2 linked regions of the Lytechinus pictus genome follow. The protein of the gene in region 1 interacts with the protein of each later gene in a pairwise test. Links are inferred from orthologs where the notes say so. Each region holds a gene or a part of one and is shown on either strand. Other genes may lie near its edges.

The links.
Region 2: the proteins of calcium-activated potassium channel subunit alpha-1-like (region 1) and cAMP-dependent protein kinase catalytic subunit 1-like interact in binary tests that used the Drosophila melanogaster proteins (3 or more experiments, as listed by UniProt). The link is inferred for Lytechinus pictus from reciprocal best matches to the Drosophila melanogaster genes slo and Pka-C1.

Annotation. Positions count from the first base shown.
Region 1 is NC_087262.1:7,055,419-7,063,258, reverse strand, and holds the start of calcium-activated potassium channel subunit alpha-1-like, read right to left. Parts: upstream 3,047-7,840; coding exon 3,024-3,046; intron 2,309-3,023; coding exon 2,198-2,308; intron 1-2,197. UniProt on the Drosophila melanogaster protein: Potassium channel activated by both membrane depolarization or increase in cytosolic Ca(2+) that mediates export of K(+). Its activation dampens the excitatory events that elevate the cytosolic Ca(2+) concentration and/or depolarize the cell membrane.
Region 2 is NC_087255.1:30,786,973-30,794,558, forward strand, and holds the start of cAMP-dependent protein kinase catalytic subunit 1-like, read right to left. Parts: upstream 3,110-7,586; 5' UTR 3,091-3,109; intron 2,768-3,090; 5' UTR 2,732-2,767; coding exon 2,683-2,731; intron 1-2,682. UniProt on the Drosophila melanogaster protein: Serine/threonine-protein kinase involved in memory formation. Promotes long-term memory by phosphorylating meng and by regulating CrebB protein stability and activity.

The DNA of each region.
Region 1 (7,840 bases):
CACAGATCCCTAACATGATTCATGTTCCAGAATACAAGCCCAAAACAGGGATTCAATGTTGCTGCTCTTTTCATATTGCTTAATCACTTTACGTTTATCTCTATTATATTAGAAGCTTCATCCTTATGATCATAAAGATTTTTAAATAAATTGATTGAATTCACTATATTAGGCCTATGCAATATATTCATCCATCTGATATTGATTCACTAATTGGAGTGAATAAAAGTTACTAGATCAAGAGTTTTTGAGTGAATTTCATCTTTTAACACTGTGGAATTTTTGGACGCTCCGTCTCGTGTTTATGTTAACTCTAAATTCATTCCAAATTTAGTGTTCCTTGATGTCACTACTAAGGGGTTGGAAAGGGAGTAAACATTGACTTTTTAAGAGAGAGAGAGAAAGCATTATCCCAAATCAGATTACAAAATAAATTTGAAATACGTAAGACAAGGAAAACCATGAAATACAACTAAAACCAACCAAATCTTCAATGCGGCTATTCCAAATTCGGAACTGACCTAGGATTAGGCTGAATAAAGTGTATATCTTCATCACTCCTCAGGCCTCGGTGTTCTAATGAAACACAGTATGAAAAATACCATTACGAGGTCATGTCCGTTAGCGAGAAACTCTATATACAATGCCACACTCCCTCTCTGTGTACTCAATCCCATGTTGAGGTGCGAATTGGCAATCCTCTGCGTTTATATGGGAGTACTGATTGGACTATGCTTAAAGGCTGCATTCAGTTGATAGCAGAGCTGCCAAGTTGTATTTTGCATTTTCAGTATTCTTATCCCCCAAAATCAGTATTTTGACCAAAAAAAATCAGTATTTTTACTGTGTGAGATATATATTTTGTATTTTTCCCCAAAACAGTGTATTTCATAATAAAATGCTTGGCGCACTCACCCATCACGGCGCTCAAGCTGCATGCAAGCTAAAATGCTCACTGCTCTTGCAGATGAAGAAAAAAAAAACATTGAAACTTGTGTATATCTCACCCTGGTTTTTACAAAATGATTGAAAAAAAAACAAGTTACCTGAAATTACATTGATCTTATAACCATATTTGTGTACGTTTTATGAAATAGAGACATATAGAGATGATTTTTCTCAATAAATTACGATTTTTGGTTGCAAAAACGTACTAAATACGGCTAAAACATACTGGTTGGCAGGTCTGTGATAGTATTTCATACCTGGGATGGATTTCAACAAATTTTTGTTCAAACATAGATGCATTCAAGCAGGTTCTTGTCAATAAACATCGTTTTAAAAAGGCAAACATGAAAGACTGAAAAACACTTTTTTGAAAGGTGCTTACAATGCAGACCTGCAAAACCAAAGTTGTTAATGAAACATCGCAGATTTTCATTCGACAGAATAAAAATATAAGAATGCGAAAGAGAAATGAGGCAAACAGGGCTTGAGATAAATAAGAATTTGGCGGGTATTAGACCAAGTGAAATTAATGTAGAACAAAAGTAATTTCCTTCGACAAGAAACTGATCCACAATGTGCTGCACTCAACCCAGGTGAGGTAAATGGGTACTGGTAGGAAGTAATTCCTTAAAAAGCTGTGTGCGCTATGAACGCCTAGCTTAGCCGGGTAATATAGGAGCGCCTTGAGCACCTAACAAGGTGGATATGTGCGCAATATAAATACCCTATATTATTATTATTAAAAGTCAATTACACCAAATTGATATTAGGAAATCAGACAAAACAGACATTAGACCAAATGGCCCGTATTCTGAAGTCGGGTTTAACTTAAACTCAGGTTTAAAGTTGTGGTTTAAGTATGGGAAGCCAAAAGTATCAAAATATTTATTAAGTTGTATGTTTCTTATGTTTACTGTGCTCTTTCCTGATTCATCGATGGTGAAGACAATCATCTATTTATACTTCCTAGACAATTATGAATGATTTAAAAGCCAAATGAGCTGAAGTATGATATCTCTACTGTTAGTGATTATGTAACAATTGGCTGTCCATACTTAAACCCCAACTTTGAACTGAGTTTAAGTTAAACCCGACTTCAGAATACGGGCCAGTGGGTTTTATAGCCCATGTGGTATAACACCATCTAAGATAGATAAAATGCTTTTAGACCAATTGAGTATGAACCATTATGACTTCTTGGTCCAAGGTAGCTTAATCACTTTTGAAAGAACGATGTCGGCTGACTTACGTGTCAAGGATGACGATCTCGACGTTGACATCGTCCCTGTCCTTGTGCAGAAAGTCTTTCAAGAAGTTGGAGACGCTGTCGTACGTGATGTGACCGCACACAACTATATGCCTGTGATGGGAGATATAAAAAAAGGGGAAGAATATGAAATGAGACGTGTAATGATCATAAACACAAGTTTCACAACAAAATCAGGGGGAAAATTACAAGAAGTCTCAAAGTGATTTCACCCTCGATATGTTCAAAAGAGCCCTGAAAAATAAAAATAACCCGAGAGAATCTGTGGTAATAATCTTCTATTAAAAAAAAAATCACAAATTTACAAAATAACAGGGAATCATAAAAAACATCAATATATCAAGATATAGGAAATGTACTGAAAAAGATGTTAGGGGATGGTTTATTTTATAGAAAATGAAGAAATAATGCAGGTTATAATATTTCAATATATTCTATTCGAATGTACTACAATTGTGTCTGTGGGATGCATTCAAATTTGTTATATAATGTATAAATGGGCATACATTATATGAAAATCGACATGGCAAAAAATTGTTGGGAGATAATCATGAGGGCCTGGGTGTTCACAAGATCCATACATCCATACACCCACGCACACATCCTCCCACACCCATATGATGTATGAATACAATGCACATTGCCTCATAAAGAATTCTATGTAAAAACACGCTACTACAGAGATACAAATCGATCATGAGATGGATGGGCATGAGGAGAAATGGAAGGATGCATTACAAAAATACCCACAAAGAAATTTGGTGCCGAGATGCATCTAGAGAATGAAAACATCCCCCCCACCCATTACCAGATGGTTTCCATGGCAACCATACTGATGACAGTTTTCTTGTTTATTACGGTAAGGGGGCAAAGGATAGTAACGGAGTCTCAAGCCAGAAGGCAGGGAGACACCATGCTAACTGTCCAGTGCAGGTGGGAATAAATTAGACACGACAAGAGCGATGGATTTTTCAGTTTCCTAAGTAACACGGGGCGGACCCCAAGTAGCCAAACAATAATGCAAAGAGTGTAGCACAACATTCTCAAATTACATTGACATCTTCATATGTATCAAGACGTGAATTGAAATATGCAGTTTTTCCAAGAAAGTGTAAATGACCAAACAGATAGGCCTACCCTTTGTAGCTTTGTTATAAAGTGCTATTCTGCAATCAGCCTCAGATATGAACGTATTATTTACTGATTCCAGTGACATTCTCTTTTTTTTCTAGGAGGAAAAATACTCTACATGGCTTGTGTGAAATAATTTTTTTTTCTTTCTTAGGTGTAAAAACTGTCACATGGTTAGGGTTAGTATGAGAAATGAATACCGACTTAGAAATGAATACTGACTTTTATTGTTTATTTGTTCACAGAGGTATCATGGCGACAGACATCAGTGACAGCTAGTGCCAAGGAGTTACTTGGATCTAAGAAGGAAGTCTGTTCCCAAAGACTACTCCTACAGGTTACATTTTTTTAAATCTGCCTCCTTGTTTATCATAGGGGGATAATCAAAGTTCCCACTGTTTATTTTATGTAGGACAGCCCAATGCTTTGCTCGTGAGGTAAACAATCATCTAATTAATCAATCGTCAAGAGGCACGTGTCTACGCAGAGAGCTGTATTGAGCACACATTATGTACAACCGACCCATGCCAAACCTTCTCTCTCTCTATTAAGGAGTATTCAATGTCTATAATATTTTTAATTTAAACAGCAGCATTAATCGTGATTGAAAACGCGATACAAACACAGAACACAAACGCAATCAGCATTCCACCATTCGTGGTCGAAAATATAAAGCTGATTATTCATCGACTGTCTTTCATTAAATTTCCCGCTCATAAGAGCAGCTTACTGCGCAGTTTGACCTATCACAAGGAAGGTCAATTGTGTTCAGTGTCCCATTTGCGATGCTGAAATTCGTAAAATCGGAGCTGATCGCATTTCCAAACATACATTTTTTGCGCATTCTTCCTCCGAATTGCGATCTGAAAGACGTTTACTTATTACGATCGGGAATGGGGGACATTGAACACACCCTTTGTTTCTCATTATATCCATGTTTTGTAATAGCATTTTCAATCATGATTCATGTTGCTGTTTAAATTTGAAAAACGATATTGAATACAATGTAATTCAGGCTCTGTTGTGGAAGGTAATATTCTATGATCAAAATGATTTTCACAATTATCTTTACCAATAAAATTTATTGGTTACACTCATATATCTCCTTGTTGACATTCTTCTTGTTAATAAATTTGAAAAAAAAAAGTAAATTATTATTATAACCATTATGACTCCAATAATAGTCTACTATTTTTGCCTCTCAAATCTATTCATTCAAACATTTATGACCCAATGAAAGATCCTTCTCAATACTACTTCTTTAAAGTAGAGTATGTGTAGACCTATGATAGAGACATGAACTGTAATACTTCTAGAAAGCTATTCCCAAAACTGTTACTTATGATCATTCATAACAAGCCAATCTCATTGAAATCAACCACAAATGGTATTCAACTTGTCTAAATTCATATTGGTAGTTGATGTTATTGATATTCATAGCCAAATAAAAATAATCATGAGAGCTGAATTGAATATAGAGCCAGAAATCATACACCCAATTAGCTTTAATTCAACCATGGTGTATATTATTCAATTACCTCTAACAGGGGTGATCACACTTCATTACTTATCATTATCAACAACCACACACCAAATTGAATTACGTACGCCAATTGATACTCCCCCATTAATTAAAACAACAAAAGCAATGCCATTTTTTCTGGGTCACTTATCAATGCGAATGAATGTCATGAATTTCATGAATAGCCAAACGACAAGATATCATCTTTTAAATGGTGGCAAGAACTGTATATGATTTGCGACAATGGTTTGATGTGGCATGGCAAGAGTTTATCCAAAGGAGGGAAAACTGCATAATTGGAGGGGAGGAGGTCTAAGGCACATTACTGAAAGTCAGGGCTGCATCTTTAACACGAGAATTCCACAGGCATCTAAAGGCCTGGTCCCACTCTCCGATGGACACAAAACGTACTCATAACGAATACAGCAGACAAATTTTGGGGTTGCTCCATCTGTTTTCATCCGCTCCAGACAATGGACAAAATGGGCGAACAATGAAATCACAGTGGACGGATGCTCGATGGATATAGAGCGTATAACACGTATGCAAAGAGTACACAACGAATACATAACGTTTTGGAACGGATGGCAAGATTCTTTTCCGTTTTACCATCCTCTCTGCATCCGTATTAAAGTGCAATGGGACCAAGCCTTTATCATCTGATCTTCTAATTTAAAACAAAGAAACCAACTGTGAAAGCAAAAAATCTGCTCTAAAAGACACATAGTTCACTGTAAAAACTGGTTCAGTGTTAAAACTGGATACCAGTTGGTGTCCTGAGAAGACCACACCCCAAGGTGTTTAAAGTACACCCTAGAGTTAGAACCATGACATCAAAGAATGTTAAGGTAATAACCAAAAGTGTTGTTAAGACACCCATGGGTGTTGAACAACAATGTACATTTAACACCAAAGTAATGCTGTCATCTATGTACACCGGTGTATATTGATTAACACCACAGTATTTGCTGTGTTCGTTCACAGCATGGTTCAAATTAATCAATGCACTGCAAAAAAAGGCAGTGTTAATTTAACACCAGCCTAGTATCTATATTGGTCCACACCAGAGAGGTGTTGATACAATACCAGTTTGGTGTTAGGCAAACACCAATTTGGCATTTAAGCAACACCAATTAGTGTTAAACCAATATCGGTGTGATTCTCAACTGGTGTTGTTTCAATGCTTCTCTGGTGTGGACCGATATAGATACCAGGCTGTTGTTAAATTAACACCGGTGTTTTTGCAGTGTGTACTTTATGGAAATACCCAAAACTAGTACAGCATGCATTCCATATGACAGCAGCGTAAAGTTTAATTTTGGAAAGTGAGTAGGCTACATGTTCATGAGAAAAAACTGTCATTAAAAGGTAGAAAAACATGACAAAAAACGGTAATCTATCAATTGGCCATATGGCAGTGTGCAAGAGGAGAACCCCTGTTGATATATCATCCGTTATATATGCTGAGATTTAAACTTATGACCCGCTTTATTATGAAAATACAACCATAGAAGGGGGATGTAATTCATCATGTCAAGTTATAACAGTTATAACATCATATTTTATTCAATGTGCAAGTGATATATTTTAGTTTTTATCCTTATTAATTTATCAATTTTGATGATTTGTTTGATTGTTTAAAGGCTCTATGACAGACCACCCTTTTTGTGGTTATAAGTCAATGTAAATGAATATAAACTGAGATAAATAAAAATAATTAATCAATTAGAAATAAAGGAAAAGGAGCGAGTTGTATTGAATATACTGCAGTACTCTTAAATGGTGTTAAACAATCGATCATAATCCTATTCGAAGGTTATTTTGAGGCAGTATACTGTTACAACGACCTTAGGATATGCACTTCTAACACTGTCTAAGAAAGAAGGAAAGAAAAAGATTTGAGCTATTTTTACCCTTATGGGCACGCACTTATCTACTTATGCGCATCCAAAATCCTTTCAAGGCGGTCAAATGATTGTACGCACACGTACTGGGTTACAAATTTGAAATGCATCTAGCCCTCATTCGTGGTCGGGCATCCCAAAATAGATTTCAATATGTGTGTCTGTGTTGACCAATCTTCCCATGACAGATACTTCTATAGCACCATCTTTGATGATTTGATTATCCTGTAAGAATTAATACTCAACCCCCCCCCCCCAAGAAAAAATAAATAAATAACAGTACAAATAAATTAAATACTCAATGTTCAAATATATATAAATAAACCAACAATCCTTGAAATGTGAAACAAAGGAAATATCTGGAAAGATACTCCAATTCATGTTTCTCACATCCCATGAAATATTTGTGTGATTTTGTTCTACAGAAGTGACAAGGAATGACCTGCAATGAATCAATGATTTCTGCTATCCATTCTAGATCAATGGACTAAGAACCGGGGAGAGAGCTTTCGCCTCCGAGAGGCCACGCTTAATTGAAGTTGACCCAAATATGCACGCTTGTCTTAACTCACACTTCACCAATCTAGTCCAATTTTAAACCTGTACTTGATGAAAAGAGGGCCACTATATGATATTCCCTGCAAGGTTATAGACATATGGAAGGTGCAGAGTTTCACGGTAGTTTATTTAAGATATCATTGTCGATTTCATACAAATTCTACTCTATTCATTGAAGAGTAGCACAGGGATATTCAAATGGGAAGTGGGGGGGGGCAAGAGGAAAGTATGAAAATATGAATATGAGTGTTTTACAGTTGTACAAGACTATACATGTACATGTAGTTCTTTCTCTTCAAAACTCTTTGATCGTGTCCTTATTCTTATCATTATCGTCCATGCCTATTCCCATTCTTCAATATATATAGTTTTTTTTTTATCCCTTTAAGGATGAAAGGGGCAATCTCCCCCCCCCCCCCGCCCCCTCCCCGCCTTCAAACTTTAACACTGCCCCTGTCTGTATATTTGACACTCGTTAATGAGATTGAGAAAAGATAATACAATAGCATA
Region 2 (7,586 bases), on another chromosome or scaffold:
TTATGATCTATGTAGATTAGAATTATCAACTGCATCTTCAAACATCTGAATGCCAAGTAAGTCCAAATATGATTAGGGGAAGAGGGAATTCACTCCAAAGAAAAACAATGGGTATGTAATTTAGAACAGTAACAGATCGCTGCTAATAGCGTATCGAATATGCTCATGTGCATTGATTGAAACAATCAATACACTTTCACAAATTTATTCTGCATTTTGTTCATCATGATCATGGCGGGAATGGTAAATGAACACTGCACTATAATAATTGTGTTACAACTATACACCACCAGTGTTTTCAGACCACCACATCAAACATTAACACCAGCGTTAAATTCACGGTGTTCGTTCAACACTCAATAATAATAATAATCCGTTTTTTAATATAGCGCTTAATACATCGGAACAACGTGTCTAAGCGCTTTACAGAAAATTATTATTACCCCGGTCATCGGATTCAATCAGTCATTCCCGCACACAATGTGTGCACATCCTCCACTCCCTGGGTAGTATTCCAGTCAGTCGCCGGTGAGGCGCACACAGTACTGGACAAGCTACAATGACTTTCACATCCTACCGGGTACCCATTTAGCACCTGGGTCGAGAGTGGCAAAGTGTGGATTAACGCCTTGCCAAAGAACGCCAGACCGCGGTGGGATTCGAACACACGACCATCTGTTTACAAGGCGAGAGTCAGAACCACTACACCACGGCTCCTCCACATATACCACACTGTGTATGTTATTTTGATTTGTTGGTGTTATATTAAAATCCCATGGTGTATTTTAACGCCCGAAGGTGTGGTCATCCTTGAACACCCCTTATTATTGTTCTTGACACCTCAGTTGCACGTCAAAATGGGACATATTTTGCTTGGAAAGTTAAACAATGATTCGATGAATCCCATGCAAGCAAAATTGAAGCATGTATGCATAATACCATTGATTCGGTTGATCTAAATGTAAAGGGAATCTATATTCTGTCACACTGCGAAACGTATTCCAAATCAACCAATAACTGAAAAAATATACAACTCATTTCGATATCATTTCCATTCACTTGTATTGTGTGTGTCCGGAGTTATACAAGCTCTTATACATTATTCCTATTTCAACCGGAAAGCAGGCACCGTTTGGAAACCCGAACACCGGATGACAAAAATAGCAAAAACAAGTAAAGACAATATAACTTTCTCTGGCTTCACTATTTAGTTATCGGGAGGTTAAACAAGATTACTCGTTACCATGGCATGCAGGATTTACCGCGGTTTAAAGAATCCGGGATTAAAAAGTATATTTAAAGGGACAAGTCGGTGTCCTTCGATATAGTTCCTCGAAACCCACCAGCATGACCAGCACATTTTGCTGGGTGTGCTACGATATGAACCAATTAAAGGTACACAACATATTGCTTCGGAAGTCAGAGTGCGTTTACATGCGGGAGGTAAAATAAAAAAAGGGGGCTTCTAACTCCAAATACATTTTAAAGGTGAATTGTGTACTTAGGAGGCTGCGATGAATGCAAGGAATGCTCCCCAGGGAGTGGAAATTGTGCACTTTTCGTGCGGAATTGAAATGAATCCAATGACCGGGGTAATAATATGCTGTAACGCACTTTGAGCCATTCTGGGAAAAGCGCTTTCTAAAAATTGGATATTATTATTATTATTATTAAAATCATGTAAAGCTACAAGTCAGTGAGCTTCGGAATAAACAAGAAATACTAACCTTTTTATATTATGTACAGAACAAAAAGAGAGCGTTTCAGTTCGACGAATGTACTAATATTTGATAAAATTTTGTTCAGAACGTGGTTTCCAAGTTGAATAGGCCGAAAACAAACCATGAGGTGTAATTGGTGTCAACAATAAATATTATGTCGTATATATTGAAAGTGAGATCAAGTCACATATTTACTATTACGATGTATATTTGATATCCGTTTATAACCATTTTGTGTTACAAACCCATTTAAATGCAGATAATAATCATGGTCACGAATTACCCCTATTCGTTTTTTTAATCATGAAAGTGTTGCCAACCATAATCAAGGCATAATAATAATTATAAAAGATGAGATAGAAGCGTTTTATTGTGAGTAAAACGTTGTGAGTACCGAATGGAATAACGTTAAATATTTATATTGTAGGTGGTGATACTAGTATACGTTAAACGTACTAGTACAAGTTTACACTTAAAACAAAATAAAAACAAGTTTTATTTCATTTTTAAAAATAGCAATGTTTGCCATCTGGTGTCCAATAAATTATGCAAACTCGAAGTGCATTGAACTATTACTTCGTATCTAGTTCATTATGTTTAAAACACGAATAGATGGGTCATTCTGAATAGAAAATGGATCAATGATCGATGTTCTCCACAATGTTGAACAATAATTCCCCACAATATACATCATTACTCATGGGTACACAAAAATAGTGATGGCTAAAATCATTTCTAAATCGGGACATACTGACCAATACCACACACCCACAAACACACCGCGTTTGTTATCAAGGCATCTAATAAATAGGCTATACACTCGATCATCAAACAACGTTTATCTCTCTTCTGAAATTCATCATGGACTTTGTTTCCAGAAACAATCGTAAACATATACTAATCGAATTAATAAACCTTTGCACGGACGTCGAGTTTAAAGGGGAAGTAGATTTCGACTTACTTTGCTTGTCCCATTGGGCGACGTGTGGCGAGCCCTTGCCCTTGGACATGTCGCCCGACTGGTCTCTGCTAAATCGAAGACGAATCTGAAGAGATAAAGACAAATAGAATTGAGCTATCCAAATTATGTATCACTTAATTGGAGATGGGGAAGAGAGAGCACGTCCAAAATGATTAGGTGCCCAGTAGGGGACCAAACTTGAGTTATCGTCTGCAGATATAGTCTCCGTATTAATCCAAGGTTAGTTGATGTCAGACGAGTAATAATCCAGATATTAAAACCTAGAGGCCGATGATGAGGTGCTTGAATACCTAAGGATGGTATCAAACTGGGACCAAGAAGCGGTTATCAGCTGAGAGATGCTTTTTAAAGATATAGAATAATGAATATAAGTAGCTGCGAAGCAACCTGCGGATCGTCGAATCTTCCCTCGCCCGAGCCGCCCCAACCGAGCACTCTCGTGTGCTCGCTCTATTGTCCTCTCCGCGGTTGCACGGTCCAAAGAACTCGAATAAAAGCAATACACTCGTACAAACCTTACTTAAATAATATCAACAATACCTCAAAGGGTCTTTCCTTTACTAAACACAGACGGTATCATGGAGAAAGTGAAAGGAAAGGTAAAAGAATAGAATTATACGAACCATTGTGTATCTGCATGTGAATGCAGTGTTACTGGTAATAATTCCATTCACGGACTTCTTTCGCGGAATGAGCGCAAGACGATGCGAACCTGCTTGTCTCTCACAAAAATTGATCAGCTCACAGACTCGGTACGTATAATATTCGCGCGGGTCTGAAAAAGGAGAGAAAATAATGTTCCAGAGAAGTATATCCGAATGGGTATAAACACAATTGAAATCGCAGGCTTTTTCTTCTTCTTTAGATTTATTTTCTCACAGTTGAATGCAAAGATGCCGAACAACTGAAAAAGGTCAGCAATATTTTTGTTAAGGTTTCTGTTTGCCACGAACCGGCCACGAAGCAAACTCTCCTTTTCGTGTCTTTTCCCCTTTATATATTTTTGTTTATCAAATTTTGAGAACAAAATGCCCCCCATCTAAAACAAAATCCTGGATAATAACTTTCATTGGATTAACACTCTTTAACAAACTACAATTAGTAAACATGATTAGATGAAATCGTGAGCTTGATATGATTTTGTTAATAAGTATTATTTACTGCTTTAGTTGTATTCAACAAGATTTTTATTTCTGAGTAGAATGACAATGACGAGGTATACCACCAATCTGTTATTCTCCAAATATAGTCATTTTTAGTATAAATTGGGTATTGTTTGTGGGGTTTATAGATTCGGGTGGGGAACCAGGATGAGGAAGGGGGCGCGTGGGGACATGTCCATGTTAATAGTTAACACAACTTTAGTATTAACGCAATATAGGCCTAGACATTAAATTATACTTCCACTGCTTGAAAGAAACATTCAATATTGTTCCATGATACGCACTCTAAATTGCAGGGATTTAAAATTAATCTAGATGGACTGCATTTATAGGGATCAATCGAATTGTGGATTTAGTTTAAATCTTAAAAAACACTTGAGGGATATATCTAATACTTTGAGATTTAAAAAATGAATCTGTAGGATTCAAACTAAATCCAGAATTCGATCGGTCCCTTATTACGGTCCGTCTGGATTTATTTTTAATTTCTGCAAATTAGAGTTACGGGGTTCGAATCCCTGCTCTAATCATGACTCAGTTGGTAGAGCAAAATTGTCGTAGACCTTGCAGCTCCACGCCTTTCCCAATAAAAAACTTTAGACGATATATGGGGGGATAAATTATCGACAGCAAACTGGAATAAAATTTAACTTAACTTGCCATTTATAGGCGTGAAAGACCAGTAAATCTATTTGACTTGAATCTATATAAATAGCTCGACTCTGAACCTGATGTTTTATTGTTAAATAAACAAAGGTAAATATACGTGTAACCCGTGTCATCAGTTCACGTGAGAAGGCTGTATGACGGTGTCAAGTGTCACGTGATCAAGTCTGTCATTTGCATTGGGGTGACCACCCTTTGGTTTTTTTTATTGAAGAGAAAAGGAAAGGATAATTTTATTATTGGAAAGAAAAAAAAAGAATTCTGGAGGAAAATAGATTATAGGTTTTCATGATAATGCTATACTACTACTGACAATGATCTTTTTATTATCATTATTAAAATGCAAGCAAATTAACCTGGACCATGTCCCCATCCCTTCCATAGAAGGTGGCACCGCCCCTGATCAAGAAAAGCTCAGTCACTTTATCACTGCAAATGAATTAGGTTTTTAATTGAAAAGATATGGGAAGACTGGATTTACATGAATGAAAAAGAAAGGATAATACCACAAAGTGATGAATTCTGAGTCCGAATTGAATTGATTCCATAATAATCGATACAAGGACGTTACGTGATTATTTGGTAATTTTAGAATTGTTAATTGACAAATAGATTGGACAAGTGACCATGTTAAAGAACTATTAACGACAAATTATTTGTTCTTTATTGCAACAATGACAAATGGATTATTCACATAGTTAAATGGAAGTACATTTTAGATTCAAATACTTGAAAGAAAGTCCATGATAGAATACATGAATATCAGAACGAGTACAATATGAGGGTGAAGAATGGAAAAGATCGATGGAGAAAAAAAGAAGGAACAAGAAATAAGCAAAAAAGGGAAGAGAGGAAATGAAAACGAAAAAGAGAATGCAAAAAGGTATATATAGAATAGTGAATATCTGATGATGAGCTATTCTAAGTTGACAAAATTACACAAATTGACTTAAACTGGGAAGTGGAATCACTGATGTGGTGGATTATTAGTCAGCCCCTTGTCACTTTAACTCTCCAAAATCGGTTAAATTTACACTGTCAAACTTTGTGTGGTTTCGAAACGTTTCCAAGGCGACATAAAAAAGGAGTAAAAAATGGAGCATTATAGGGTGGCAATGTTTTCACGTTCAATTAATAATTGTTTACAAACTTCTAGTTACCATAGCAATATATGAATTTATTTATGGAAGGCTGTTTATTCATCCTTGACTATACTGAGATCATTCCTGTGTTAAAAAAAAGAACGTTGAAGAACGTATTACAAATATCGTTTCCTTGAAAAATTAGAGAAAGCATATATACTAGGCCTGAAAAACAACAACAACCGAATTTTTGTGCAATTGCTGCATGGTCGAAATTAGTCTAATGCTACAACCTACTACCATTTTCTGAACCAAGAATATCCAAACTGTAAATTGTTCGAAGCAAAATTGTACGCATTCATGCATATGAACAACAAAACTGTATTATACATGAATATATAATTTAATTTATTTGAAGGTTATTGACTGTGTGTAGAAAAAACTCGTTTCATATTGGTTGAATTAGATAGTGAAAGAATAAGGAAAATAAAAACATGCAAAAATAATAAGTAACATATCGTTGAAATGATCATCAAAGAATGAATTTCATTCTTATGAACTAAAAAAAAAATAATGTGAACGATTATGGGAAATTTATTTCTTTTTATATTTCAAATTCCATTGATAAAGTTCAAGCAATAATTACAATATCAGGGGCCGCGGAAGCGGGGGGGGGGGGGGGGGCTTCAGCCCCCCACTTTTTTCCAAAACCATGTACAAAAACGTAAAAATGACCATATGATTGTGATTTTTTGCATGGTCAGCCGCCCCCCCCCCCAATTTGAAAACCGTTCCGCGGCCCCTGAATGTAAAATGATAAAACTGTCTTGAGATAGGATTTATATAGAGACCACCCAGTTCTATTTGACAAAAGGGTCAAACATCAGCCGAAGTCTTATCTCTAAAGGAAGAAAGTGAAGAGAAAGTCTAGCACAACGATGATTCATGGGATATTGTTTCAGTGAATTAATGATAAAAATGGATGATTGTTGCATGATACTACGCTAAAAGACTTCTGATGAAGGTAAGTCGTGTAGAAAAAAACCCCAATGGTTTAGTGTTAGGAGTTGTCGACATGGTAGAAGTAAGTGTAAAAGTTATAGGCCTAGTTATCGACATTAGTAATTTATAGTTACGAAAAATATATTTCCAGTCTGAACATGGTGGATGGGACTTACGGCTGAGAGGGGGGGGGGGTAGGGGTGGTGTTTTAGATAATTATTAGAATATAGTGGGCACATAATTGTTGCTGGATGTCGGGTGCATGGGGTATATATTCCACCAATGACTTTACAACTTTACCTACCATATGCCTACCCGTTGTTTATAAACTATTCCCTTTCTATTCATTCGTTTTATTTGTGTATGCGTGTGTGGGGGTGTGTGTGTGTGTGGGGTCAATATTTGTTTCTTTGATTTTAGGGAATTTCCTTTTCAATTTTTCCCTTTCCGGGGGGAGGGGTCCCTTTAATCACATTGATCTAAGGTAAACCATCGAAATCTAACACATTTTCCATCTTAAGTACTCAACAAAACTTAATGAAGTATATTAATCTCAATGAAATTCATTCAAAAACAAAAGTTTGGCGGGGGTTGTTGCTCGACCTAATTCAAGTGTTCGATCTCATTCAAGATCTGTATCTATTGAGAAATACGTGTAAAAGTGCAGGTTTAGCTAACTTCACCTTGTAATGGTAGAATACTTAAACACACGACCCGTTGATTATTGTCATGCCGGATAATGACAAATGACATACACACCTGTTCTGTAACGCCAATGGCACATTGAATTGACAGCTCTCGGTGACGCCATTCCCCACAATGTCAAAGCTGAAAGTCACCACCTTACTTATTTCATTTTCCTCCATACAGGCCCTAAAGAAGATTTTTTTCAAGTAGTTTGATCTATCTATGTACCCATATCTATCTATCTATCTATCTCCCCCTCTCTCTATATCTATCTATCTATCTT